Pelodiscus sinensis: one gene and its partner. The protein of the gene in region 1 binds, or shares a complex with, the protein of each later gene. Links are inferred from orthologs where the notes say so. Each region holds a gene or a part of one and is shown in the gene's direction. Other genes may lie near its edges.

Region 1 (15,184 bases):
TGGCCACTTAAAACGTAATTGCTTGACAAGAAAGTATTCTTGTTTCTGTTTTCAGAGTATAGGCCCATTCTCTCAAATGAATTGAAATGTAGGCACTGTTGTGGTTCTTTAAAGACATTTCTGTGCATTCTGCTGGGACTAAAAAATCATGGCTGAGTTATTTTTATTCTTATTTTCAGTGCATCAGGCTCTAATTTCTGGTCTTATGTTTCATTTTGTCCTCATGTTAACAAAAAAGTCTATTGCTTCCCATCTAAGACCACAAGTTAAATGTTAATATATTATCAATACTATTTTAATTGAAAGTAGAACTTTTAGTGCCTAACTAATATTGTGGACGTCTTGCACCTTTCTTGAAGCCTAGATCTGATCATACAGAATACAACTTAGCTATTGAGTATTCATTGTCAGTGTGGTATTTCTTCAGAATATGTTGTTTCCGATCTCCCTTCAAGCTGATAGATAATACAACAATTGACTTATAGCCACGTTTCTCAAACTGTGGGTCCCGACCCTCCGGGGGGGAGGGGGGGAAGAGGTCACGAGCAACTTACTGGGGGGCTGTGAGCAACTTAGAGGGGGGTTGTGGTATCACAAAGTTTGAGTCCCGTGGTGTCCAACCAGTTCTGAAGCAGTGATGGCTACTAATATAGTGAACTATCCATGCTCAACCAGCCAAATTGCCACATGTGGCTAATGGCTAGCATGCTGGACACCACGGATCTAGTCCAATTCCCTGTATGACTGTGACTACAACCAGATGCTTCAGAGAGTGGCAGATACAGCTACTACATGCTGACAGCCGGGCGGGCAGAGGCCACAATTTAAAGATTGGCCTCCCCCAAGCAACTTGGGTCATGCCTCCCTAGGTACACCTCCCTTACACTCAGCAATCCTTCCCTGCAGCTCCCAACTGTTTACTGAATCTCTGTCTGCACTGCATTTTGCAGCCCACTGGCTCCAGGAGCTGCCACACAGTAAATGATGTGTAAGGAGGAATGCAGGATTAAACAGCCCAAATTCCTACCTGGTCTGCTGGGATACAGAGGGGATGGGCTCTGTCGTTCTTCTGCTGAGCCCTCCCACCCCCTGGATATTCAGCTCCTGTCCCTGGCAGCTGGGCTCAGGTCGGAAGCACATAGGGAAGGCCACTACTGTCTTCCCAGCTGGGTTGTCTCTTGGGCAGGACACATTACATAGAAACAGTAACCTGGAACGAACAGCCATCTTCAGATGGAATGAGAAGTGACTCCATCTTTTAAGCTGGCTCCCTCTGCATACCAATTCTTGTCTGCTGCCCCACATTGCTGCCTCTGTATCAGAGGCAGCAGCATAGGCAGCAGGCGGCTCTCTGGGAGTCAGTGAGTGCAGGGAGCTAGCTTCCCATACCAGCTCTCATCCCTCCACCTGCCCCGGCCCACCCCCCTCCCGCTGCTGCCTTTGTCCCTCGGCATACCAGCTCCCCACCTACCACCCAGTGCTGCTGACTCTGTATCAGGCATCTTCCTGGGAGCTGGTTCACACCGGGAGCCAGCTTTTAAGCTGGTTTCCCGTCCAGGAGCCTAGGCTCATTGGTTAACCATTTACATGGCTACACTTTCAAATCCCTAGATGCGACAGATTTTGGGGTCCCAATCCACAGTCTGAGAACTGCTGAAAAAGAGACTCCTGGTAGAGTATTTTACACTATTCAGGAACTAACAAATAGAGCCCTACGTGAATATGAAATTGATATCCGCATCTGAAAAAATGATCCGTGAATATCCACATCCACATATACAACGCAGATAGCTGCAAACTTACATGATTCTACATCCAAAATTTGTATCCGCATTTGTATCTCCTAAAATGAGCCACAGATATCTGCATCCACATCTGTGAATGCAGATAGCCACAGATATAAAGTGGATATCTGAAGATGCAAGGCTCTACCAATGCACTTCAGTATTTGTAGGGACACCCAAGCAATTTTTCAAATAGAGTAAGACTTATTAGTCAACTGGAACAAAGCACTGGAAGTCATTATGTTAGCATAAAGAGATAAATATTAAAGGATAGTCAATTCTGGTCAAGGCAGAGCAATTCACAAGCCAACTTGTAGTGGATTTCATTTTGTGTTCTCTCTCTCTCTCTCTCTCTCTCTGGCTCTTCAGTTACTTTCTATGGAGAGCAGCCAACCTCTTTCAGAAATCAATTATTATTCCTTCTTGGTCACCTCCTAGTCCTTTGCTCTCCAGGCAGAGACTGAATTCATAAGTGCTGAGAGGTGGGGAAACGATTCTCTCTCTGGCTTATTGAGTGCTAGCTGCATGGGCTAGTCCGTTTAATGCCTTATTCAGTCTGCTCAGACAGGTTGGTAACACTTACACCCCTATATTTTTGGTCTGTTCTGAAAGCAGAGTTAATCTTCTTTCCCCCACATGGTAGCAAAACAACATATAGGGAAACCGAGGCACACATAGTCTTAATAAAAATATTACAAAAATTCCCATTTAATTTCACTTGTCCATTCCAGACACCCTTTCCTGTGCTTCTAAACAACAAGATTTTTCACATTCTGATATTTACATATAATGTTAAAAAATATGACATAGCTTTCTCCAAGGGGCGGAGAAAAGGAGGAAATGGAGTCTGCAAGTTTTTCTTCAAATAAGACAGTCAGCCATTAAGGGCTATTAAGCAATTAACAGATCTGGTCCAGACAGAGCAGAAAGTAGGAAGAAGTCAATTTGCACCAACTTTTCTGCAGAAGTTGGGGTTTGGAGACACATAGAACAAAGGAAGCTGGTGGTCGGGGTGGGACAATCTAATGTGATTAATTCAGAATAAAGAAGACAAGGCTTAGGACAGGAGAAAGTAAAAGATTTAGCTGGGATGGAGGAGGAAGGGTCCCGTTTAATTGAGGGACCAAGGAAGACAAAAACTAGCGGACCTAAAGGAAGGAAAGAGACTCCATGATTTCAAAGAGAAGCCATGTGCTGTAGAGAAGACTCCTGTGCCAAAAACCCAGACTACCTCCAGAGTGATAGGGAAGCCAAGGCAGGAATTCTTACAAAGGCTATATGACTGTTTGCTTTTCACTATTATGTGTCCCTAAATAGTTAAACTGTTAACCCAGAGTTTCCACATGGTTGGAGTTGTATTAGAAGTAATGATTATTATTATGATTATGTCAAGGTTATGGAAGTTACAGAATCCATTACTTCCATTGACCTCTGTGACATATTCTTTCCTAGGAGTCAAGTATCAGAGGGGTAGCCGTGTTAGTCTGAATCTGCAAAAGCGACGAGGAGTCCTGTGGCACCTTATAGACTAACTGAAGTGTAGGAGCATAAGCTTTCGTGGGCAAAGACCCACTTCGTCAGATGCATGTAGTGGAAATTTCCAGAGGCAGGAATAAATATGCAGGCCATAAAATAAATAAATATCAGGCTGGAGATGACCAGGTGGATCCAATCAAGGAGGATGAGGCCCACTTCTAGCAGCTGATCTGGAGGTGTGAATTCCAAGAGAACAGAAGCTGCTTTTGTAGTTAGCAAGCCATTCACAGTCTTTGTTTAATCCAGAGTTGATTGTGTCAAACTTAAAGATGAACTGTAGCTCAGCAGTTTCTCTTTGAAGTCTGGTCCTGAAGTTTTTTTGCTGCAGGATGGCTACTTTTAGATCTGCAATTGTGTGTCCAGGAAGATTGAAGTGTTCCCCTACAGGTTTTTGTATGTTGCCATTCCTAATATCAGATTTGTGTCCATTGATTCTTTTACGTAGGGACTGTCCTGTTTGGCCGATGTATATAGCAGTGGGGCATTGTTGGCACATGATGGCATATATTACGTTGGTGGATGTGCAGGAGAATGTACCAGTGACCTCCTCGTCGCTTTTCCTAGGACTGCAGCTCTCAGCCCCTGAGCAGGTGAGGAAACCTTGAAGCTGCTTAGCTCCAGGGAGTATAACTTATGGGGGAACTTCTGTAACTGTACAGCCATGGTGGGCAGCAGGGGATCCTCCCATAGCTGACAGCAGGCAACCCTCTGAATGCCCAGCTGCCACGGGAGGGGAGGAGACCCTGGAGCAGCTCAGCCCCCATGGGCAGGGGCCTCTGGAGCTCCCACTCCCCACAGCAGCAGAGGATCTAAGATCCCCAGCAACAGTGGGTGCTGATCTCATCTCCCCATTTTGTCAGGGTCATTTTTGTGAAAGTCAGGAACATGTCACAGGCTTCCATTAAGATCCCAGGCTTCTGTTTATTGCCTGGGATCTGACCATGACTTGCACTAAAAATATCCATGGCTCTCAGGCTGGTCCCTCTCTGGCACATTGAGTGCAGAAGGAGAGGCTGCACAAAAGACTTTAAAAATACCCTGCCACTAAATGCTTCTGGTTAAAAACTCCCCACGGTCACAGATTCCCTGACCTTGGATGGTATGCTGCCACTACCCAAATACAAAAATCCCTTTGAGAACCCAGGAAGAAGTATTTGGGAATTTTTTCCTGTGGGGTATTCTCTCAAGCTCTTTAACTCTCCCACTGGAGAGAGCCTGAAAAACTAATTTCTTAATAGCTGACCTTTCAGTCTCACAAACATGCACATTCAAACCAAATGCCTTCTAAGACACAGGATTCAGATTATAGTCTTAAAAGGTTATTTTATTAACAAAATGAAGACGACATACTTGGTAAAGCATATTTGGTGTTACAGAGAAACTGAAAAAAAGCAAATTAAAAACAGAGAATTGCTTTCCTGGGATTTCCTTTAAAAGTCAACAGGGAGAAATGGGCTCAGAACAGAAGAGTTCAACAAACTCCAAAATAAATAAAATAACCTGAACATATCTGACTAAACAGTCCCTGGTCTAGGGATGTAAGCGACTAGTCGACTACCCGATAAGCCCTCCTGTACATTTTAAAAGGAGAGGCACAGCAGTAGAGACCCATGCGAGAGGGGACTGTTTTGCCTCTTCCTTTGAAGAGGATGGTTCTTGTACATTTCAAAGGCAGAGGCGCAGCAGGATAGTGAGCACCCTCCTTATCGACTAATCGAGTAGCTGATGGAAATTCCATTTGACTCCTCAATTAGCCGATTAATCAAAATTTAACATCCCTACCCTGTTCTATACACACCTCTGTTGTTCCAAAGTTTAGTCTTTCCCCCAGGCATAGATATCACTGGAAATTCCATGCCTTGTTCCTAGCTTAACTCATCTCCCTCAGCTCAGATCACACAAAGACTGCAGCAGGGAAGGTCCTACTTCAATTCAAAACTAACACTGTTTTCATTGGCTCTCCTGGCTCCCCTGTCCACAGTTTCTGGAGACTCTCAACTACTCACTGTCTCTGGGTTTAACTCTTACAGGCAATTTAGTTAACTGAATTGCTGGGATGTCGAGAAAAGGGTAGAACCCCGCCCATTCATGATGGATAGGCATGCTATTTAGATAGGTATGCTTAAGTTACTGAAAAGTGTGAGTGGTCAGCATCGTCCTGGGGACCTAGAGAAGCTGGGCAGCATCGACTCATTTATGTAAGGGGTAACAGACAAAGAGGCTGTATTCAGCTGTGCCAGAGAGGTTGTGAGTTACCTCACCCTCATTTGCCCTTAGTATGAGGAATTCTTATCTGTCTTTGCTGTGGAACCGCTCCCTGAATCCACCAGCTGCTGCCAATACAAGCACTGTCTTTCAGGCCTCAGTTTCTCAGACAGGTAGCAATAGATTAATGCCAACCTTCAAGGCCTCCAAGAGCATTCCACGCATTGTCTAGCCACCTATCCACTGATCACTCACAGAAATGCCTGGCCTGCTTTTCCCAAAGAAACAGTGCATGTCAGCTTCTAATATTCAACTCAGGGCCATAACTTTGCTTAACATCACAGCACTTAAGACATGTTTATTATCAAAAATATATTTTTTATCAAAGAACAGAGATTCAACAACAGAAAGAATATTAGAAACAAATGATTACAAACAAAACAAAATCACATCATGCTTTCTAGAGACTAAACTAAGTTTTCCTCTTGTCTAAAGAGGCTTTTCACCCTACATTCTTACCAGCGTTTTCAACAAATCCTCCTTGAAATCTCTCTTTCATGAAGTAAAATCTGCAGTCAATTCACATCATAATAAGGATGACGGTGTGTCTTCTTTGCCCCTAAATACACTTGTATAAGCCTTTGATCTGTCCACTGTGAACAATACAATATTTAATTTATATGTAAATAGTCAACTAGATAAACAATTCTTGTGCATCAAAAAACTTGTTTATCTTTGCTGGTGATCAGTCCCTAGACACAGGTCCTAACAACAGAAAGACTGCGTCTAGACTGGCAAGTTTTTCTGCAAAAGCAACTGCTTTTGCGGAAAAACTTGCCAGCTGTCTACACTGGCCGCTTGAATTCACGCAAGAACACTGATGATCTCATGTAAGATTGTCAGTGTTCTCGTGGAAATACTATGCTGCTCCCGTTTGGGCAAAAGCCCTCTTGTGCAAATGCTTTTGCGCAAGAGGGCCAGTGTAGACAACGTGGTATTGTTTTGCGCAAATTAGCCCCGATCGCAAAAATGGCGATCGGGGCTTTCTTGCGCAAAACTGCGTCTAGATTGGCACAGATGCTTTTCCGCAAAAAGTGCTTTTGCGGAAAAGCGTCCGTGCCAATCTAGATGCTCTTTTCCGCAAATGCTTTTAACGGAAAAACTTTTCCGTTAAAAGCATTTGCGGAAAATCATGCCATTCTAGACGTAGCCAAAGTGTATAGATATACACAACTCCTTACACAACATCTGTACATTTGTTTCACAGTTATATTGATGACCAGTGTAAAGCCAGCTTTTATGAGAGACCTTGCATGACATTCTTGGGGAGCTAGAATGTACACATCAGAGACTGGAGATCCTTGTAATCCTTATGTGGGCACCCTGTTTCTCTTGGCAGTTGGCACTATGAGGTTCTTGAGTCTCAGAGACTAAAGGAAGAAACAGTGCTACAGTGTACTCAGACCTAGAGTGGGACACAAACTGTGGATTGGTTAGAATTTAACAATGCACGCTTCACCAAGAATAGCGTGTAAATACATAGTAACATAAACATAATCAAGGAAAAGGTAGATGCAAGAGAGAAAGAGACCAAAAGATACAAAATGATGGCAGAAACAAAAGATATCACACAGTAAGGAGAGTTTCTTATCTGGGTATAGGTTCCCACTCATGAATAACTCTCTCTGTATTTCATCGACCAAGAGCATACCACCTACTTGCATACCATCCAAGGCTTGTATGTGCTGTATGGGTTCTAAGAGGTCTGCCTACCTACATAGAATGACTGTTTCTATTGAGAAGACAAAAATATCAGAAGGGCATTAGTTGGGTTGCAGGTGGATGTGGTTTAAGAGAACCTGGGGGGAACAGACTGAAACAAAGTGTCCTTTGATGGGTGTTGCTGACTGTTGCCAGGTAGTTGCGCAGCTACACAGAAGCAGTGAAGTGCTTCAGTGAAGATACTCCTATGCTGAAGGGAGAGCTCTCCAGTCTGTGTATTAATCCACCTCCTCAAGAGGCAGTAGCTATGTCTGTGGGAGAAGTATAGTGCTGTCTACATAGGGGGTTAAGGTCAGTATAACGAATGTCGCTCAGAGGTGTGGATTTTTCACAGCTCTGGGTGACATAGTTATACTACTATATGTCTGTAGCATAGATCTGGCATAGTAGATTCAATTTACTCAGCAAAGTCTTCCATTTCTGAAATGGTCTCATCTGGGACCAATTATTTAGTACACAACACCTGACTGCAGAATAGCAACATATATGCCTTGAACAAATCTTCTAATTTGTTAGTTTTTTCATCATTTGAAATGTAGGCAGCTACATTTGTCTCAGATTATATTGCCAAGGTTTAGTTATGTTAATCTCTGTGTAAGATCAATACAATGAAAATGATTCGAGTTGGACGGAACTTTGTTTCCAGGTTTAAATAAATTAATCTTTTCAATTTGTTATTTACTTGAGGGCTTTGATCAATATCCCCTAGATAGTGTACTGTAGTAATTGTTGGGTAGCTTGTTTATTCTGATCTTTCACATTGTGCTGTTGTAAAAAAGCCACTTATAATTAAAATTCATCAGAGTTTAGGCATCCTAATAAAGACAGAAGAATGTATCATCCTGTAGTTACGTTTTCCCAATACAACTACTTGCATGTACAAAAGCTTCAGGGGGTAGCCAAATTAGTCTATAACTGGAAAAACTTAAAAATAGTCTAGTAGCACCTTAAAGACTAACAAAACAGGTAGAAGCTGAAGAAGTGGGTTGTACCCACCAAAGCTCATTATACCATCTACATGTCCTGTTAGTCTTTAAGGTGCTGCTAGAATATTCGTGTTTTTTTAAGTACTTGCATGTTGTCAGTCACTCATGTAAATTCTAGAACAGCATGGGACAGTAGCAAAATACTGGAATCAGAGGTGATAATTTCTGTGAACCAGATTATCTCCATCTCGGTTTTTGTTATTTCTCACAAATGCTTAAAAAGGGTACAGCTCCAAAGTTATACTTGCTATTAAGCAATATAGAAAGTCTCTTAAAAGCCCTCTCATGGGTATCTTATGGACAGCTGATTGCTGCTACTCCGATACAGTGTTGCATAAATTTCTGGTTTCGTCCCCTTGGAGGCTAGTCTGATTTACCCCAAGAAGAGAGTCACACTTTCAGGCTGGGTCCAACTCAAGTTTATTGGTTGCAACCAAGGTACGGCTAAGGAACTCAATGTTCAAAGCAGAGCCGACCCTGAGCGTAGGCTAAGCATCCTTTTTATACTTTCTTTAACTTTCTTATCTAACTTGGCACGTCTTGATTTGTTACCTTAGCTTCGTGTTGCCGCGTTATTGGTTAGCATATTTCAACTCTATTCCATTCAGTAACAACCACCAGTACAGCTTACTTAAGCAATAGCAATTAGCAAATTTCCCTAACTCAAGTAATACCTGTACTCCAGTCCTTGAGAAATGGGTCTAAACAGCTAGTTCCCCTTTTTACTTCAGCTTCTAAAACATGCGCAATTAGCTAAATGATATGTGCTGTTTCAAGCTTAAGTAATGGAAGGGGGAAGAAGCACACATAGTCTTTACTATATTTTACTACAACAGCATTTAGAAAATGGGGATGGAAACAGATCTCAGAGGGCTGGGACGAGGTAAATAGCCTCAGAGTATTTGGAGCCTGTCTCCACAGCACTGGGAAGGGTTGCACCAGCCGGTAGTTACCGCACGGAGCTACCTCTTCCCAGAAATGCGCCACTACGGCTCACCTCTTCCCGGGGTATGGGGCTGTGGATGCTGCGCTATACCAGCGCGCTAGGGGGGTCGCCCAGCGTAACTATCGTGCTGCAGCAGCTCCAGGTTCAGGGGCTGTTCAATCCAGCTGCAAAAGAGCCTAGAGCAGGGGGAAATTCCTCCCCGGGCCCAGGAGGCGACAGCCAAGGGCAGGACGTCGCACGGCTGTTTGCAGCCCAGGAGCAGCAGCAGGACCCCGCAACGGGGCTCAAACGCTTCTCCATTCTCCAGGCCGCGAGCTGCCGCGCGCGCCCCCAGCGACAGCGCGAGGCCTCGCAGCCGAAGGCCAGAACGGCCCGGCCGCGGCCCCGCCCCCACGCGCCTCTCCCCCACCACCTGGCCCGTGCCCGGGTGACGCCGCTGCCGCGCGCTTCACACCTGCATCGCGGCAGGGAGAGAGACCGCGCGCGCGCGCGAGCGGACCGAATGCTCCGCGGGGGGCGCGCGCGCTCCCTGTGTGACGAGAGCTGCGCCAGCGAGCTAGTAGCGCCCCAACCGCCGCCGCCGCAGCCCGACCTCGATGGCGGCGGAGAGGGAGGCGGACGTGGAGTGGGTGGTGGACAGCATCGCCGGCTTCCTGCGCGGGCCCGCCTGGTCCACCCCCATCCTGGAGTTCATGGAGCAGAAGTGCGCGGGTGAGAAGCTGGGGCGGGAGCCTGTCCGCCTGCTCTCCCCCTCCCGCTGCTGCGCAGGGCGTTGCTAGGCCCGTGGAGAGACGCTCGGCGCCCGTTGCCAGGCCCTGAACCAGGCTCCTTCCGGTCAGCCTCGGCTTGAACCCCGGAGCGCGAGGGCAGGTGCAGCTACCGCCCCCTGCTCCCTCCAGACCTTAGCGCCTCTTCTGGCGTCAGCGCCGCCCCACCAGATTCTGGAGTGGAGGACCGGCCGGCCGGCCGGCCACAGCAGCGCCACCTCCCCCGCGCTCTGTCACCACTGTTGGGAGGGGAGAGAGAGACGTGTCCGTGGGCCCTCAGTCTGCTGGGGTCAGTGGCCGCTGGGGACGCACCGTCCTTCTCCGAGGGGCTGCTCAGAGAGCACTAAACCCCTGCTTCAGTGTTTCCCAATTTTATTTGGCCGAGGAACCCTTTTCAGAATTTTGAGGAACCCCATGGCTTGTCAAGCAAAAAAAAAAAAAAAAAAAAAAAAGGTAGGGCGCGGGGGAGGAGAGAGGGACCCACCAATTCATGAAAATCACATTCCTTCCCCAAGACACACATACCCCCCATCTCCCTTCTGTGAGGCCTCAGCTGCTCTGTTCCCCTCCTCTCCATCACTTGCTATCTCCAGCCCTTATACTTGTCTCAACCTAATGAGAGTGAGGTGTGGGGTGGGAATGAGGGATTTGGGTGTGGGAAGGGGTGAGAAGTACAAGCTCTGGGAGGGAATTTGGATGCAGGAGAAGGGGCTGTTGGCTCAGGGAGGGGGCTCTAGGCTGGGGAGTGTTGGGTTCAGGTGGAAAGTTGGGGTGCTGAGCAAGCCAGGGCTTGTGCATGTGAGGGTGCAGGAGTTTGGGCTGGATATGTGAGGGACTCAGGGCAATAAGGTTGTGAGTATGATGGGCTCTCAAGTTGTGGTGGGAGAGGTCCAGGTTGGATATTAGGAAAAACTATTTCACTAGGAGGGTGGTGAAGCACTGGAATGGGTTACCTAGGGAAGTAGTGGAGTCTCCATCCCTAGAGGTGTTTAAGTCTCGGCTTGACAAAGCCCTGGCCGGGTTGATATAATTGGAATTGGTCCTGCCTAGAGCAGGGGCCTGGACTTGATGACCTTCTGAGGTCTCTTCCAGTTCTATGGCTCAGGACACAGATTTGTGATGTGTGGATGGTGGAGGAATGTTGTGGCAGAAGACTGAGGATGTGGGGATGCAGGAGTTTGGGGATGTAAGAGGCTCAGGACGGGGATTCCAGTGTATGATAGGCTCAGATTTGGGGTCAGGTGGTGCAGGAGTGTTATGATGCTGCAGTGAAATGGGGATTTGGTCTCAATTGGGGGCTTGTTGGCCTGGCTTAATTTTTAAATAAAATATGTCAAACTCAAAAGGTTTTAGCATTGTCTTTAGATATGAGAGGGGTGAGGAACCTGTTTTGAGTCAAAGGTCACTGACCCACAGAAAAGTCAGTTGGGGCCACACAAGTGAGATGCAAAAAAACAAAAAAAAGCTCCTCCAAAACCCCCCCATGTCTCACTAATGTCCCAAATGTGCTGGTGAGGGTAGGGGACAGAGTGCTAGTGAGTGCTGGGGCTGGAGAGAGGGTGCTGCTGGGTGGAAGGATGCTGGCCCAGGTGGCAGGGTGCTGGGGTCACGTACATGGTCCTGCTGGGCACTAGGGTGACTGGCAGGATGCTGGGACAAGGAACAGGGTGCTGCTGGGTGCTAGCGTGGATGGCAGGGTGCTGGGGCTGGGGCCAGGGCCGGGGCGGTGCTGAGTCCTGGGGTGTGAGGCAAGGTGCTGGGGCCAGGGCGGTGTTAGGGTGGATGACAGGGCTGCAAAGGAGCGGGATTGGGATGGGGTGCAGGATCTGGGAGGGAGCTGGGGGGCAGAAGGGGACAAGGTCTGCGTGGTAGGTAGGGTGCTGAAGCAGGCTGGATGTAGGGTGTCTGGCTACAAGGGAGGGTGTGAGGAGGGGACTTGGGTAGGAGTTGGACCTCCCTGATCTGGCACCCTCTAGACCTGACTGGTCCCAGATGAGGATTTTTTGGACCAGGGGAGGTCATTTCAGGGCTCCTGGTTTCTCTCCCCCCCTCCCTTCCCAACTAGGCTTCTTTGCACCTCTATCCCCTGCAACTGAACTAAGCTGCCCACCCCTGCTGGTTCCCTGCACTTCCCCTGAAACCATCCCTCACAATCCAAGGGAGTGCAGCACCAGTTCCCTGCAGCCCCTCACAGCCAGCTGAGCTGCCTGTCTGTTCTGTATGCCCTCCCCCATCCACCTCAGCCCAGCTGAGCCCTGCACTGGTTCCCAGCATGCTTCCCCCACAGCACAGCTGAGACCAATTTCCCTGCACCTCCTCCAAGCCCCACAAAACTGCTGAGCCAAGAGCCGATTCCCTGTCCCTCCCTCCCCTTGAGTCTAGCCCCGGTTCCCAGCACTTCCCTCTGCCTGCAGTCAAACTGAGCTCTGAGCTCCACATACCCCCACCCCACCCTAACCCAGCTCCGCAGACCTCTCCACTCTGCAACCCAGCTGAGCTCAATTTCCCTGCACCTTCCCCCAAACCGTGTAGACATGCTGAGCCAGTGCTGATTTCCTGTCCTTGCCTTCCTCCCTCCCCTTGGCTGTGTCTACACTGGCACGATCTTGTGCCAAAGCGGCCGGTCTTGCGCAAAAATTTGCTGCCTGTCTACACTGGCCGTGTGTTCTTGCGCAAGTACACTAACGTTCACATGTATGAAATCAGGGCTTCTTCTGCAAGAACTACGATGCTCCCACTCAGGAATAAGCCCTTTTGAGCAACTATTCTTGCGCAAGAGGCCAGTGTAGATAGGCAACATGAATTTCTTGAGCAAGAAAGCCCTATGGCTAAAATGGCCATCGGCACTTTTTTGGGCAAGAGAGTGTCCAAACTGCCATAGGTGCTCTTGTGCAAAAGCACAGCTCATACATGGAAGAGTGGATGTGTTCTTGTACAAGAACACTTGCCCAAGATATTCTTACGCAAGAAACAACCAGTGTAGACATAGCCTAAGAGTTTCCTCACAAGCAAAATGAATTTTGTGTTGTGCACCAGTATTGAGTTCATATGGCTTGTTTGGATGTGCCACCCAAGTTATTAATAAATATTTTTAAACCTCTACCTTTTCCCTCTGCTGCCATGTCAGCTCCCCTGGTGCCTGCTGCCTCCCCACTCCTCACCCTCCTCTGCTGTCCTGACTCCTGCTCTTCTCACTGTTCTCAGCCCTCCTGCAACCTGCCTCCCTCCACCAGCCCTTCTCTCCTCCCTGTGCCCACTTCTCCAGTAGCCCCACTCTGATCATGTGAGCTACCCCTCCTCATCCCCTCTTCTAACGCCTCCCTCTACAAACCTGCCCTGCATCTCTCCTCTGATGGTGGTCCCTCCCCTGCAGGTACCCTTCTGCTTCACCCCCAGAATCGCTTGGCACCTGCACCTTCCCTTACCCCTGCACCCTCCTGGTGCCTCCCCCTTCGCTCCATTTTTCCCTGATGCCCACCCCTCAACACCCTCTGCCCCCATTCCCCTCATGCCCCTGTGCCCTCTCACATGACTTGCTCCATCCCAGCCTTCCTGATGCCCACCCCTTCTTTCAAGCCTTCTCCCAGCATCTCCCCTCACCCCTTTAGCCCCCAATGCCCTTACCCTCTCCTCTGCCAGCATCACCCTGTCCCCCCTCCTACTAACACCTCCCCTCCTGCCCGTTTCCTCATTGTCTGCGCTTGGCCCCCTGGCATTTGTCTCTCCTCCACCCCTGTCCCTTTGGTGCCTTCCCCTTCCCCTCCGCACAAGCACCTTCCTCTCCCAGCCCTTCCCCTTTCCCTCTGCACGAGCCCTTTCCCTCACCTCCCCTCTCTCTCCCCTTCTCCTTCCCCTCCCCCTCTCCCGTACCTTCTACCTTCTACTTTGTGGGGCCGGAGTCTGCGCTCTGTCCCCGGACTCCGAACCCGCAACTCAGCCATGCGGCACATCACAGCGCCCAGCAAGTTTAAAATCCCGCGCTGTGACGTTACGTGACGTCCGGGTGTCTCTCCACTCACTGGCAGCAGCAGCCAGCAAGGAAGAGCTCAAGGAAGGTTGGGCAGGGACGGGGACGGGGGAGAGACGCTCTGGGGCCGGGGTGGGAGGACACGCGCGGGGGGGTCGAGACCCGTTCCAGCTCCAAATATTGCTGGAGCGTGGGCACCACAAAACTCGCCGCCCACTCCTCTGCTGGCTAGCTGGCTCTCTCTCTCTCTTTTTCAGAGGGGGCGGGGGAGCGCTGGCTCCTCGCGGAACCCCTCGTTGTGCTCTGCAGAACCCCAGGGTTCCGCAGAGCACCAATTGGGAAACACTGCCCTACTTAAATCTGCGTCCAGGTAGCAACACTTCACTGAAATGTCTCTGCGAGTCTTAGTCCCTAGTGACTCAGCGCTGTGCTTCCAGCAGAGCATGGTATCTGATAAAGAGGGATTTTAAGGTTTGCATGGAAACATAAGTAGTGGAGTGTGGCGTTGTAAAGCTTAGAACTGCCTTGACATTTATGAAAAGAAGATACAGTAATAACTTGTTTAACACGTGCCCACTTAACATGTTTTCGCAATAGCATAATTTTTTGGGGGGGAACGTTTTTTGAATAACACTACTGTCCCTGAAATAACACAAAAATAATCAAGTGGCAGACTACTTCGCACGGCAGTATAAGTTGGTGAAAATAGTGGTAATACGCATGAGCGAATGAATACACGTGGTCACAGCACTTCTCCGCTCACTCGTGTTTATCTTTGTGTTTTAACAAACAGCGGCAACTTGTGTTGCTAGTTATCTTGTGTTGCTAGATAGGTAATGTTGACGTTGATGACCCAGCACCAACAAAAAATTGACTTTGCCACCACCACTACCTGAAATGCAACTCCCACCTTTTTCATTATTTTTATTGGGAAAATTGACCCCACATAGCACATTTTCACTTAGCACGAACATTTTCAGAAACGCATCTGTAGTGTTAAATGAGGAATTACTGTACATTTGCTTTGATAGTTGACACTTTTATTATTCATGTTAGAGTCATGAGTTGATGAAAGTAGTTTGTCAAAAGTTAAGCTTTAGAGGACTAAAAAAGGTTTTACTGCTTTTTGCAGGTTTTACATGGCTACAGATTCATTAAAAGTAATTTATATTTGGCTTGGAGGTGTGAGTTCTGCCTAAGACTCTCAGGTA
Region 2 (14,895 bases), on another chromosome or scaffold:
TCCAAAGCCAGGAAATGAAGTTTCCCTTCAGTTCCACCAAAGGAGAAACTGGCTCACACCAACATTCCACCACCCGCAAAGATGCGGAAAAGTTACGGCGAACACAGCAGAAACATGCCACCAAGCAGCTGATATGATCAAAATGCCACTAACTTAACAGAGCTTGAAACAGCTGTGTGGAGTGCAGGGGAGGCTGCCTTTTCAGGACACTGATTTAAATAAAGCCAGGCTGTCAGAAATAGGGATGTTAAATGGCCTTTAGTCAGCTAAATCAAGTAGACCATGGAGGGGCGGAGGGAAGGGGGGAATTCCAGAGCCACAGTTAGACCCGGGAGATAACTCTACAGCAGAGTTGCCTTTTAAATGTATCAGAGTCTCACTTTATGAGATATTTCAGATGATCCTGGAGCTTGCAGCTCCACTCCCAACCAATGCTTCTTCACTACCCCAAGCATGCTTAGAGAGTCACCAGTTGCACATATTCCCAGGGCAGTCAATGCTTCCATCTGGCCTGGGCTTGAAAAGATTCCTGCTCTTGCAACAGAGGACTTTGCTTGCAGGGTTTCAAGGAGCCTCGGGGCCAGTCTTTGCCCTCAGTCCCTACCACAGAACCAGGCTCCCCCTCACCCGACTGCTTAGCCCAGGCTAGCACACTCCCTCTTCCTCTGATTCCTTGCAGGAGGCTGCAGCTGGGCACCCATGGCAGCGTGACATGACCCAAGCCACAGCAAGTACAGTGTGTCAGAGGAAATCCCTGCTTGCTCCCTGTCAATCACTTAGGCCCCACCCATCAACTCAGGCACTGGCCAAACCCAGCACCGTAGAGCGTACAGCTTCTCCCTCTGCTGCATTTCCAAGACCTAACCCTTGAATGCGTCCTAAATATACTGATTAGACAATTAAAGGGAGAAGCGGGGACACCCTCCCTCCCCCGCAGGTCACTCCTGCTTCTGGGCTGGATCACAGCCACTCAGCCACAGGCAGGGCTGCTCCAACCCAGCCAGAGCAGCCCCTGCCTGCAGCCTGCCCCCATCCCACCAGTTAACCTTAAGCAGTAACCCTCACTCATTAAGTCTTACTGGTTAAGCCTTCACATCCCTGATCACCACCACTGGTCTATCCAAAACACAGCGACCAAAGTTACCTTCCTAGGACACCACCTCTCATTTTGCCCACATCTCACCGCACCCCTTTGGCTCACCCCCCTGGCTCCCTTGCCGGGTTCTACCCCCCCCCCCCATCTGTCTGGGCTCACCTCTCACTCCCCCTCGCCTCTGCCAACGATATGCTTATCGGACTGCACCACCCTCGCCTCTGAGCACTCCGGGGAGGGGGGAGGGGAGAAGGCTGCACTGCTCTGCTCTTTTCCCAGGAGACCCTGGACTCGGCACTGTGCTCCCCCCCTAGTTATGCTACACCCCATTCCCTGTCCGACAACATCCCCTCCGCATGCAGCTCACGCTCACCCTCCCTCTCCTCTCAGACCCTCTGGGCTATAGCCAGCACCCCCCCCCCCAAAACACTGCTCTGACCCCTCCATTTATACACCCCATTCCCTGTCCGACAACATCCCCTCCGCATGCAGCTCACGCTCACCCTCCCTCTCCTCTCAGACCCTCTGGGCTATAGTCAGCACCGCCCCCCCCAAAACACTGCTCTGACCCCTCCATTTATACACCCCATTCCCTGTCCGACAACATCCCCTCCGCATGCAGCTCACGCTCACCCTCCCTCTCCTCTCAGACCCTCTGGGCTATAGCCAGCACCGCCCCCCCCCAAAACACTGCACTGACCCCTCCATTTATACACCCCATTCCCTGTCCGACAACATCCCCTCCGCATGCAGCTCACGCTCACCCTCCCTCTCCTCTCAGACCCTCTGGGCTATAGTCAGCACCGCCCCCCCCAAACACTGCTCTGACCCCTCCATTTATACACCCCATTCCCTGTCCGACAACATCCCCTCCGCATGCAGCTCACGCTCACCCTCCCTCTCCTCTCAGACCCTCTGGGCTATAGTCAGCACCCCCCCCCCCAAAAAACACTGCTCTGACCCCTCCATTTATACACTACAACCCAACACACTGCACCTCCCCTCCCCCAGGGGCACACAGCCACCCATTTCACCACACTTCCCTCTCAGACCCTGAGGTTTACACTGCAGTCCCCATGACATTGGGCTCCCCACCCCCTTCAGACTCCCTGGGGCTTGCACTCTATCCCATTGCACTGCCCCCCCACTGCAGCCCCCATTGCAGCCTTCCAGGCCCCTCGATGCTTGCACTGCCCCCCCCCCTGCAGCCCCCATTGGAGCCTTCCAGGCCCCTTGATGCTTGCACTGCCCCCCCCCCCGCAGCCCCCATTGGAGCCTTCCAGGCCCCTTGATGCTTGCACTGCCCCCCCCCCCTGCAGCCCCCATTGCAGCCTTCCAGGCCCCTTGATGCTTGCACTGCCCCCCCCCCCCCTGCAGCCCCCATTGGAGCCTTCCAGGCCCCTTGATGCATGCACTGCCCCCCCACTGCAGCCCCCATTGGAGCCTTCCAGGCCCCTTGATGCTTGCACTGCCCCCCCCCCCTGCAGCCCCCATTGGAGCCTTCCAGGCCCCTTGATGCTTGCACTGCCCCCCCCCCCTGCAGCCCCCATTGGAGCCTTCCAGGCCCCTTGATGCTTGCACTGCCCCCCCACTGCAGCCCCCATTGGAGCCTTCCAGGCCCCTTGATGCTTGCACTGCCCCCCCCCCACTGCAGCCCCCATTGCAGCCTTCCAGGCCCCTTGATGCTTGCACTGCCCCCCCCCCCTGCAGCCCCCATTGGAGCCTTCCAGGCCCCTTGATGCTTGCACTGCCCCCCCCCCTGCAGCCCCCATTGGAGCCTTCCAGGCCCCTTGATGCTTGCACTGCCCCCCCCCCCTGCAGCCCCCATTGCAGCCTTCCAGGCCCCTTGATGCTTGCACTGCCCCCCCCCCCTGCAACCCCCATTGCAGCCTTCCAGGCCCCTTGATGCATGCACTGCCCCCCCCCCTGCAGCCCCCATTGCAGCCTTCCAGGCCCCTTGATGCTTGCACTGCCCCCCCCCCACTGCAGCCCCCATTGCAGCCTTCCAGGCCCCTTGATGCATGCACTGCCCCCCCCCACTGCAGCCCCCATTGGAGCCTTCCAGGCCCCTTGATGCTTGCACTGCCCCCCCCCACTGCAGTCCCCATTGGAGCCTTCCAGGCCCCTTGATGCTTGCACTGCCCCCCCCCCCTGCAGCCCCCATTGCAGCCTTCCAGGCCCCTTGATGCATGCACTGCCCCCCCCCACTGCAGCCCCCATTGGAGCCTTCCAGGCCCCTTGATGCTTGCACTGCCCCCCCCCCCTGCAGCCCCCATTGGAGCCTTCCAGGCCCCTTGATGCTTGCACTGCCCCCCCCCCTGCAGCCCCCATTGGAGCCTTCCAGGCCCCTTGATGCATGCACTGCCCCCCCCCACTGCAGCCCCCATTGGAGCCTTCCAGGCCCCTTGATGCTTGCACTGCCCCCCCCCCCTGCAGCCCCCATTGGAGCCTTCCAGGCCCCTTGATGCTTGCACTGCCCCCCTCCCCCTGCAGCCCCCATTGGAGCCTTCCAGGCCCCTTGATGCATGCACTGCCCCCCCCCTGCAGCCCCCATTGGAGCCTTCCAGGCCCCTTGATGCATGCACTGCCCCCCTCCCACTGCAGCCCCCATTGGAGCCTTCCAGGCCCCTTGATGCTTGCACTGCCCCCCCCCCCACTGCAGCCCCCATTGGAGCCTTCCAGGCCCCTTGATGCTTGCACTGCCCCCCCCCCCACTGCAGCCCCCATTGGAGCCTTCCAGGCCCCTTGATGCTTGCACTGCCCCCCCCCACTGCAGCCCCCATTGGAGCCTTCCAGGCCCCTTGATGCTTGCACTGCCCCCCCCCCACTGCAGCCCCCATTGGAGCCTTCCAGGCCCCTTGATGCTTGCACTGCCCCCCCCCCACTGCAGCCCCCATTGCAGCCTTCCAGGCCCCTCGATGCATGCACTGCCCCCCCCCCCTGCAGCCCCCATTGGAGCCTTCCAGGCCCCTCGATGCATGCACTGCCCCCCCCCCCTGCAGCCCCCATTGCAGCCTTCCAGGCCCCTTGATGCTTGCACTGCCCCCCCCCCCTGCAGCCCCCATTGGAGCCGTCCAGGCCCCTTGATGCTTGCACTGCCCCCCCCCCCCCGCAGCCCCCATTGGAGCCTTCCAGGCCCCTTGATGCTTGCACTGCCCCCCCCCCCTGCAACCCCCATTGCAGCCTTCCAGGCCCCTTGATGCTTGCACTGCCCCCCCCCCCCGCAGCCCCCATTGGAGCCTTCCAGGCCCCTTGATGCTTGCACTGCCCCCCCCCCACTGCAGCCCCCATTGGAGCCTTCCAGGCCCCTTGATGCTTGCACTGCCCCCCCCCCCCTGCAGCCCCCATTGGAGCCTTCCAGGCCCCTTGATGCTTGCACTGCCCCCCCCCACTGCAGTCCCCATTGGAGCCTTCCAGGCCCCTTGATGCTTGCACTGCCCCCCCCCCCCTGCAGCCCCCATTGGAGCCTTCCAGGCCCCTTGATGCTTGCACTGCCCCCCCCCCACTGCAGCCCCCATTGCAGCCTTCCAGGCCCCTTGATGCTTGCACTGCCCCCCCCCCCCTGCAGCCCCCATTGGAGCCTTCCAGGCCCCTTGATGCTTGCACTGCCCCCCCCCCCCTGCAGCCCCCATTGCAGCCTTCCAGGCCCCTTGATGCTTGCACTGCCCCCCCCCCCTGCAGCCCCCATTGCAGCCTTCCAGGCCCCTTGATGCTTGCACTGCCCCCCCCCCCTGCAGCCCCCATTGGAGCCTTCCAGGCCCCTTGATGCTTGCACTGCCCCCCTCCCACTGCAGCCCCCATTGGAGCCTTCCAGGCCCCTTGATGCTTGCACTGCCCCCCCCCCCCCCCTGCGGCCCCCATTGCAGCCTTCCAGGCCCCTTGATGCTTGCACTGCCCCCCCCCCACTGCAGCCCCCATTGCAGCCTTCCAGGCCCCTTGATGCATGCACTGCCCCCCTCCCACTGCAGCCCCCATTGGAGCCTTCCAGGCCCCTTGATGCATGCACTGCCCCCCCCCCTGCAGCCCCCATTGGAGCCTTCCAGGCCCCTTGATGCTTGCACTGCCCCCCCCCCACTGCAGCCCCCATTGGAGCCTTCCAGGCCCCTTGATGCTTGCACTGCCCCCCCCCCACTGCAGCCCCCATTGCAGCCTTCCAGGCCCCTCGATGCATGCACTGCCCCCCCCCCCTGCAGCCCCCATTGGAGCCTTCCAGGCCCCTCGATGCATGCACTGCCCCCCCCCCCTGCAGCCCCCATTGCAGCCTTCCAGGCCCCTCGATGCATGCACTGCCCCCCCCCCCTGCAGCCCCCATTGCAGCCTTCCAGGCCCCTTGATGCTTGCACTGCCCCCCTCCCACTGCAGCCCCCATTGGAGCCTTCCAGGCCCCTTGATGCTTGCACTGCCCCCCCCCCCCCCCTGCGGCCCCCATTGCAGCCTTCCAGGCCCCTTGATGCTTGCACTGCCCCCCCCCCCACTGCAGCCCCCATTGCAGCCTTCCAGGCCCCTTGATGCATGCACTGCCCCCCTCCCACTGCAGCCCCCATTGGAGCCTTCCAGGCCCCTTGATGCATGCACTGCCCCCCCCCCTGCAGCCCCCATTGGAGCCTTCCAGGCCCCTTGATGCTTGCACTGCCCCCCCCCCACTGCAGCCCCCATTGGAGCCTTCCAGGCCCCTTGATGCTTGCACTGCCCCCCCCCCACTGCAGCCCCCATTGCAGCCTTCCAGGCCCCTCGATGCATGCACTGCCCCCCCCCCCTGCAGCCCCCATTGGAGCCTTCCAGGCCCCTCGATGCATGCACTGCCCCCCCCCCCTGCAGCCCCCATTGCAGCCTTCCAGGCCCCTCGATGCATGCACTGCCCCCCCCCCCCTGCAGCCCCCATTGCAGCCTTCCAGGCCCCTTGATGCTTGCACTGCCCCCCCCCCCTGCAGCCCCCATTGGAGCCGTCCAGGCCCCTTGATGCTTGCACTGCCCCCCCCCCCCCGCAGCCCCCATTGGAGCCTTCCAGGCCCCTTGATGCTTGCACTGCCCCCCCCCCCTGCAGCCCCCATTGGAGCCGTCCAGGCCCCTTGATGCTTGCACTGCCCCCCCCCCCTGCAGCCCCCATTGGAGCCTTCCAGGCCCCTTGATGCTTGCACTGCCCCCCCCCCCCGCAGCCCCCATTGGAGCCTTCCAGGCCCCTTGATGCTTGCACTGCCCCCCCCCCCACTGCAGCCCCCATTGGAGCCTTCCAGGCCCCTTGATGCTTGCACTGCCCCCCCCCCCCCGCAGCCCCCATTGGAGCCTTCCAGGCCCCTTGATGCTTGCACTGCCCCCCCCCCCCTGCAGCCCCCATTGGAGCCTTCCAGGCCCCTTGATGCTTGCACTGCCCCCCTCCCACTGCAGCCCCCATTGGAGCCTTCCAGGCCCCTTGATGCATGCACTGCCCCCCCCCCTGCAGCCCCCATTGGAGCCTTCCAGGCCCCTTGATGCTTGCACTGCCCCCCCCCCCCTGCAGCCCCCATTGGAGCCGTCCAGGCCCCTTGATGCTTGCACTGCCCCCCCCCCACTGCAGCCCCCATTGCAGCCTTCCAGGCCCCTTGATGCATGCACTGCCCCCCTCCCACTGCAGCCCCCATTGCAGCCTTCCAGGCCCCTTGATGCTTGCACTGCCCCCCCCCCCCTGCAGCCCCCATTGGAGCCGTCCAGGCCCCTTGATGCTTGCACTGCCCCCCCCCCACTGCAGCCCCCATTGCAGCCTTCCAGGCCCCTTGATGCTTGCACTGCCCCCCCCCCCCTGCAGCCCCCATTGGAGCCTTCCAGGCCCCTTGATGCTTGCACTGCCCCCCCCCCCCTGCAGCCCCCATTGCAGCCTTCCAGGCCCCTTGATGCTTGCACTGCCCCCCCCCCCACTGCAGCCCCCATTGCAGCCTTCCAGGCCCCTTGATGCATGCACTGCCCCCCCCCCCCTGCAGCCCCCATTGCAGCCTTCCAGGCCCCTTGATGCATGCACTGCCCCCCCCCCCCTGCAGCCCCCATTGCAGCCTTCCAGGCCCCTTGATGCTTGCACTGCCCCCCCCCCTGCAGCCCCCATTGCAGCCTTCCAGGCCCCTTGATGCTTGCACTGCCCCCCCCCCTGCAACCCCCATTGCAGCCTTCCAGGCCCCTTGATGCTTGCACTGCCCCCCCCCCTGCAGCCCCCATTGCAGCCTTCCAGGCCCCTTGATGCTTGCACTGCCCCCCTCCCACTGCAGCCCCCATTGGAGCCTTCCAGGCCCCTTGATGCTTGCACTGCCCCCCCCCACTGCAGCCCCCATTGGAGCCTTCCAGGCCCCTTGATGCTTGCACTGCCCCCCTCCCACTGCAGCCCCCATTGGAGCCTTCCAGGCCCCTTGATGCTTGCACTGCCCCCCCCCCCCTGCAGCCCCCATTGGAGCCTTCCAGGCCCCTTGATGCTTGCACTGCCCCCCCCCCCCTGCAGCCCCCATTGCAGCCTTCCAGGCCCCTTGATGCTTGCACTGCCCCCCCCCCCTGCGGCCCCCATTGCAGCCTTCCAGGCCCCTTGATGCTTGCACTGCCCCCCTCCCACTGCAGCCCCCATTGGAGCCTTCCAGGCCCCTTGATGCTTGCACTGCCCCCCCCCCCTGCAGCCCCCATTGGAGCCTTCCAGGCCCCTTGATGCATGCACTGCCCCCCTCCCACTGCAGCCCCCATTGGAGCCTTCCAGGCCCCTTGATGCATGCACTGCCCCCCCCCCCTGCAGCCCCCATTGGAGCCTTCCAGGCCCCTTGATGCTTGCACTGCCCCCCCCCCCCTGCAGCCCCCATTGGAGCCTTCCAGGCCCCTTGATGCATGCACTGCCCCCCTCCCACTGCAGCCCCCATTGCAGCCTTCCAGGCCCCTTGATGCATGCACTGCCCCCCCCCCTGCAGCCCCCATTGCAGCCTTCCAGGCCCCTTGATGCTTGCACTGCCCCCCCCCCTGCAGCCCCCATTGCAGCCTTCCAGGCCCCTTGATGCTTGCACTGCCCCCCCCCCTGCAGCCCCCATTGGAGCCTTCCAGGCCCCTTGATGCTTGCACTGCCCCCCCACTGCAGCCCCCATTGCAGCCTTCCAGGCCCCTTGATGCTTGCACTGCCCCCCCCCTGCAGCCCCCATTGCAGCCTTCCAGGCCCCTTGATGCTTGCACTGCCCCCCCCCTGCAGCCCCCATTGCAGCCTTCCAGGCCCCTTGATGCTTGCACTGCCCCCCCCCCTGCAGCCCCCATTGCAGCCTTCCAGGCCCCTTGATGCTTGCACTGCCCCCCCACTGCAGCCCCCATTGCAGCCTTCCAGGCCCCTTGATGCTTGCACTGCCCCCCCACTGCAGCCCCCATTGCAGCCTTCCAGGCCCCTTCAGCCTTGCACTGCCCCCCCCCCTGCAGCCCCCCTTGCAGTGCAGTACCCCTGAGCCCTGCACTGGTGCACCGCTCTCCCTCTAAACCCCTCCCCATTAGGCTCCTTCCCTGCTCCCTACCTCCGCAGCCCAGGCACGCGCCCCTCTCCCTCTCTCCGGCACACGTGGTTTTCACCGCCCCTCTCCCTAACGCGTGGCCCTTGTCAGCCAATCAGAGCCAGCCTCCCACCTTGCTCGCGTCAGCATGGGACCTGGGAGCCAAGGCGGTTTAAGACGCATGCGCCGGACAGGGGCCGCCCTGCTCGGGGAGAAGGAGGGGAGGGGGGGATCGCCAGGGGGCGGGGCTTACGTCTGTCCCCGCCCCCTTGCCGCTAGTGCGTGCCGCAGAGAAGAGTGACGTTGCACGAAGGGGGCGGCGCGCATGACGCAGTTGCCCATGGTAACCCGGGAGCCGCGCGGAGGATGGTGAGTGCGGCCAGGGAGGGTCCTGCCGTGTGGGGGAGGGGCGGGGGGCAGCCTGGCTGGGGGGGCTCGGGTGATATGGAGAGCCAGGGAGGGGCTGGGGTGTGGACCCAGCCTGGGGGGGCTGGGGTCGAGCCTGGGGGGGAGGGGGGGCGGGGGTGTGGACCCAGCCTGGGGGGGCTGGGGTCGAGCCTGGGGGGGAGGGGGGGCTGGGGTGTGGACCGAGCCTGGGGGGGAGGGGGTGTTGGTACCCAGCCTGGGGGGGGGCTGGGGTCGAGCCTGGGGGGGAGGGGGGGCTGGGGTGTGGACCGAGCCTGGGGGGGAGGGGGTGTTGGTACCCAGCCTGGGGGGAGGCTGGGGTCGATCCTGGGGGGGAGGGGGGGCTGGGGTGTGGACCGATCCTGGGGGGGAGGGGGAGCTGGGGTGTTGGGACCGAGCCTGGAAGGGGAAAAGGGGGTGTTGGGACTGAGCCTGGGGAGGGGGGGGGCTGGGGTGTTGGGACCGAGCCTCAGGGGGAGGTGGGAAGGGGAGACTGGGGTGTTGGGACTGAGCCTGGGGGGAGGGTGGGGATCTGAGGGTCACAGCCAGGCTGGGGAGAGATGGGTGGTGATGAGATGGGGTGGGGGGTTAAGGTGCTATGGAGAGAGGGATGGGGGTCCAGTCTAGATGAGGAAGGGACTGGAGGGGTCAGCCTGGGTGGGGAGGAAGCAGTGTTGGGGCCTGGGGTTCTGAGAGCCAGGCCTGGATGAAGAGGGTAGGATGGGTGCTGGAGTGCTATGAAGAGGGAGGGAGGGAGGAATGGGGAACCGGCCTGGGAGCCTTCTTGAAAGGGAAAGGACAGGCAGGCACTCAGAAGTTTCAGGCATACGGGGCGAGGGTGGGAAGGGGCTGAGACAACTGCTGCAGGGAAGCATCCCATCCCACCGTGTGCAGGGGCAGGAGGACTAGCCTTAGGGCAGGATGGTGGGTTTGCTGGCTGTGTGCAGAAACTAAAGGGACAAGCTTATGACAATGGGACAAAGGGATGAACAGCTTCCAGTAACCCTACATATAGGGGGCTGCATTCAGTCCTCTGGTCCATAGAGATGTGGGCCTAGTTTTGCACATATTGGTCCAGGGCAAGGGGCAACCATATTTCCCCTATTTGTGGAGCTACAAGGATAGCATGCTAGGAACATAGCACATGCAGCATCTTTACTGTGATGATGTTGCATGCTATATTCCTCACCCATTCTAGCCTGCAATGCTTTACCCTGACCTATCATAAAAGATGTGGAGACAAAGATTAGGTAGGGACTCTGCTCCTTTGCTGGTTAGTTGATGGTGGGGCAGCTTTACATACTAGACACAGTGTTCATCGCAGGAAATACATCTGCTTTAAGATGAGGGCAATTACATAATGCAGTGTAGCACTCCACAAACTACGCTTTCACTTGGGCAGTGGTTGCTGACAAAGTTGCACTTCTGCTTTGTAAAGTTTGGGATATGCTGACAAACGATGAAGGAAAAAGATTAACAGCTTCCAACATCTGTGTTGACATTTAATTACATTTTGTAGGACCACTTTTGCAAGAAAACTATGTCTGTGGATTTGAGCGGGAAAAACATTCTAGGTGAATTGACTCCAGCAAATGCAGGGGGGAAAATGTATGCATTGATTGATATCATAGTCTAGAGTTTGCATAACAAGTAATTGAGTTAATTTTGCCTGTGTTAGTAGTAGTACTGAATAACCTGTGCTTAATAGATTAAGATGCTCCCATTGTTTTGAAAAAGGTTTAGTGCTTTTATATAACAGCGATAGTTATGCAGGCTAAGAGAAAGGTAATCAGACTTCTTCAGGGCATCAGCTAATCGGCTGCAGTAAGTGTGCACCCTTACACGCTGTGTACAGAATTACACAATGAACTAGGAATGAAACATCAGCTACTAGCCACCACTGATGGCATATTAGACTCAGTAGACCATTTGTTTGATCCGAACTGGCAAATACTATATAAATGCAGTGAAACCTTCCTGCTGGCATCCTCTGTCTTAAGCAATGATTTTAGAATTATTATTACTCACTACTGCAGAGTGCAGGAGCCTCAGTTATGGGTGAGGACCCCACTGTGCTAGGCACTGTACAAACACAGAACAAAAAGATAGGGAAAGGAACTAGGAGCTTACAGCCTAAAATAAGAGACCGCAGATGAAGATAGACCAGTGGGAGAGTACAGGGAAACGAGACAATGCTGGTCAGCATGGAAGGCAGTGATCTTGGCACAACTTAAAAGTGTGGTCAATACTTTTGTAGACATAATGGAAAAGGAGGGTTTTGAAGAAGGCGAATGAGGTAGCTCTGCAGATGTTTACAGGAAATCTTCCTAAGTCTGATTAGAAGAAAGCACAAAAATGCTTGTCCTGAAATTTAACAAATGGACAATGGAGGCTTGTACCATGGGCTGATCAGAGGCAGGAGTCATAGAATCATAGAATAATAGGACTGGAAGGGACCTCGAGAGGTCATCGAGTCCAGCCCCCCGCCCTCAAGGCAGGACCAAGCTCCGTCTACACCATCCCTGTCAGATGTCTATCTAACCTGTTCTTAAATATCTCCAGAGAGGGAGATTCCACCACCTCCCTTGGCAATTTATTCCAATATTTGACCACCCTGACAGTTAGGAATTTTTTCCTAATGTCCAAGCTAAACCTCCCCTGCTGCACTTTAAGCCCATTACTCCTTGTCCTGTCCTCAGAAACCAAGAGGAACAAATTTTCTCCTTCCTCCTTGTGACACCCTTTTAGATATTTGAAAACCGCTATCATGTCCCCCCTTAATCTTCTTTTTTCCAAACTAAACAAGCCCAGTTCATGAAGCCTGGCTTCATAGGTCATGTTCTCTAGACCTTTAATCATTCTTGTCGCTCTTCTCTGTACCCTTTCCAATTTCTCCACATCTTTCTTGAAATGTGGCGCCCAGAACTGGACACAGTACTCCAGCTGAGGCCTAACTAGTGCAGAGAAGAGCGGCAGAATGACTTCACGAGTTTTGCTTACAACACACTTGTTGATACAACCTAGAATCATATTTGCTTTTTTTGCAACAGAATCACACTGTTGACTCATATTCAACTTGTGGTCCACTATGACCCCTAGATCCCTTTCCGCCATGCTCCTTCCTAGACAGTCGCTTCCCATCTTGTATGTATGGAACTGATTGTTCCTTCCTAAGTGGAGCACTTTGCATTTCTCTTTATTAAACCTCATCCTGTTTACCTCTGACCATTTCTCTAACTTGCTAAGGTCATTTTGAATTATGTCCCTATCCTCCAAAGAAGTTGCAACCCCACCCAGTTTGGTATCATCTGCAAACTTAATAAGGGTACTCTCTATCCCAATATCTACATCATTGATGAAGATATTGAGCAGTACGGGTCCCAAAACAGACCCTTGAGGAACTCCACTTGTTATCCCTTTCCAGCAGGATTTAGAACCGTTAACAACAACTCTCTGACTACGGTTATCCAGCCAATTATGCACCCACCTTATCGTGGCCCTATCGAGTCAGCATCTTGATACTGAATGGGCGACGATAGGTAGGATGGGGTTATGCTGCAAAGTCTTGAAAGTACCGAGGAGTAGCGTATGTTTCATGCCAGTGAAGGGAGGCAAACAAAAGGCAGGGAGGGGGCATGGTCAAGCTGTTGGCTAGGAGAATTATCTTTTCAGCAGCGCTGTAGTTCAGTAGAAATGTATTTGATCTTTTGTTAAATGCCACATTTACTAGGTAAACATCTGCAGGCAGTTTACACCGTATTTATAATCTAAATTCATCATCCGAGCTTTGTGGCTAATACAACAAAAGAGCAGATATTTGTTTCTCCTCCTATTCGGGCAAGACTCTCCTCTGGAGTGTCTGGCAGGCTCCATGTGCTATTTCTAGTCCATATCATAATGTGAAATAGCTCTCTCCGTTACATAGTTTGTATTGTTAACTCTGATATTAAATTTGCAGTTTATTTCAATGCTTGGTTCCCCCCCAACCAACCTCTAATTTGGCCTGTAAATGTGAATTTTTCTTTCAACAGCCTCTATGGCACAGGATGTGGTTGCGTGCACCAACTAGTTCTGGAAATCCACACAGCTTGGATTTAAAGCTTCATAAACCTGCCAGAACTTAGGACTGTAAATGTCATTGTATTTTTATATCTGTGAATTAAGAAAACAAATGTAGCGCACGTAGCTATAATCAAAAGACCTCTGTTCAGTGGAGGTTTTCAATCTAGAAATTTATGTTTTCATAAAGCCACATATTTGTATTCTCTGAAGGATGCTGATGGATAACTTTTCTTTCTTATCTAATTTGCTTTTTGAGTGTATTTGCCACCCAACAGTATATATAGTATTTAATAATGGGTTTGAATTTCTTGGCAATGGCCGAGTGGTTTTCTGTTTGCTTTTTTAATATCTCCACCCAGCTTCCAGAAAATGTAGCTATTTTACTGGTGGCCTCCGAGTGTTACTCTCCTGTTGGAAGATAGTGTGTATTTTGGTCTCTCGTACAACTCAATCAAAGACTAAAACAGACTACTGTGTTTGCTTAATACACAACGTCACTTCTGGAACTGCCCGGTATGGCCACCCTCATCTCAAGGGTGTTGCCTGTCGAGACCATATATCCTGGCACACAGGGCTTCACTATCTGAGTGGCTTCCACAATTATGCCCACCATATTGAAAATGCTGCAATCTGCTCGGTTCTATGCAAATTACATGTAACCCTCACGCTCCTAACAAGTTGTCAGTGCAGCTCTTCTGGACAATGTGCTTTGATCCCAGTTGAAGACTTGTTCTGCTCCTGAACCTAGGAACCTCCCACATCACCCATCTCAATTCTTGCGCTACCAGCCCAGCTGCCCTGGCACTAATGTAACTCACAGTTTGCTTTTGTAACATCCTTGCTTTGCCTCCTGGAACATCCATAACTCTACTGCAATATCTATAACACTGCTGTGTACTGCCCACATTTATGGTTTTCCCATTCAAAAGTTAATTCAGATATTTTGTTTGCAAGTAAAACAATCAGTCCATCTGCATGTGTCATTGCCATATTCTGGAGTCATGCAGCTAGTACATTAATTGTTACTTTTTCTAGTCTGCTAAACCATGAAGGAGCACTTAATACTTTTTTAGTCCATGTATCAAATATTTATAAAGCTGAATTTATAAAAATCCCCATGGATTTTACTGAGTGATGCTTTTCCTGGGTATTAAATAGCTGTTTACTAGCATCAGAATAATTAGATATAACTTCAGAACAGTAATGTTTTTGAATTATTGGTAGACACTAGAGTTAGTGTCTTGATTTAAACTGGACTGCAATTTTTAACTGCACACGAGTCATATAATATATATGCAAAGAGAGCTACTGAAGTAGAGTCCACAGCCATACATTGGTTTGCTTTTCTTCTAGCCTTCTAAATCAGCTTACTTAATACCTCAAAGAATACTTTTATTTCTATAAATAACCCCCTCTCTATTGGCTAACCCAGATAATCCTGCGATCAACCATGTAACAAGAAGTGTCACTTGAGTAGAATATGGAATGATGCCGATCTTATTTCTTGTAGACTGTTGTGTTAATTTGGAAGTTCGTCATTCTGCAGTAGGAGAGGATCTATTAACATTTGTTTTTCATTCCTCTCCTGAGAAGTATTTTGAGAGAGAGAGAGAGAGAGAGAGAGAGAGAGAGAGAGAGTTAGTTAGTGGCCTGCTCTGGGAATGTATTGCTGTACTCTTAGCAAGCAGTATTGTGAACAGGATTAACGTTTTATCAGCCTTATTAGCTTGAGCAGTAAACCACGATAATAGGACTTGATTCAAAGCCCCCTAAAGTAAGTACTCCCATTGATTTCAGTGTGCTTCAGATCAAGCCCATAAATAATAAGCAGAATGGTGGGAAATGTGGGTGTGTCTCTGTTTAGCA

What was found.
Region 2: the proteins of CFAP36 (region 1) and ARL3 are in contact, whole or in part, in a crystal structure (PDB 4ZI3), measured with the Mus musculus proteins. The link is inferred for Pelodiscus sinensis from reciprocal best matches to the Homo sapiens genes CFAP36 and ARL3. Residues at the interface, in NP_080016.1 of Mus musculus: Glu44, Glu45, Ser46, Lys47, Leu48, Thr51, Glu52, Lys58, Val61, Glu62, Leu65, Glu76, Phe79, Gln80, Cys83, Thr84, Ala88, Lys89, Leu97, Val100, Leu101, Ala103, Glu104, Asp105, Phe106, Thr107, Ile108; in NP_062692.1 of Mus musculus: Leu3, Leu4, Ile6, Leu7, Arg8, Lys9, Leu10, Lys11, Ser12, Arg19, Lys35, Glu40, Pro47, Thr48, Gln49, Gly50, Phe51, Asn52, Ile53, Lys54, Trp66, Ile74, Tyr77, Ser80, Tyr81.

Annotation. Positions count from the first base shown.
Region 1 is NC_134713.1:176,411,757-176,426,940, forward strand, and holds the start of CFAP36 (cilia- and flagella-associated protein 36), read left to right. Parts: upstream 1-9,623; 5' UTR 9,624-9,835; coding exon 9,836-9,950; intron 9,951-15,184. UniProt on the Homo sapiens protein: May act as an effector for ARL3.
Region 2 is NC_134718.1:72,677,035-72,691,929, forward strand, and holds the start of ARL3 (ADP-ribosylation factor-like protein 3), read left to right. Parts: upstream 1-8,786; 5' UTR 8,787-8,928; coding exon 8,929-8,931; intron 8,932-14,895. Other genes in the region: SFXN2 (sideroflexin-2), read right to left, coding at 381-506. UniProt on the Homo sapiens protein: Small GTP-binding protein which cycles between an inactive GDP-bound and an active GTP-bound form, and the rate of cycling is regulated by guanine nucleotide exchange factors (GEF) and GTPase-activating proteins (GAP).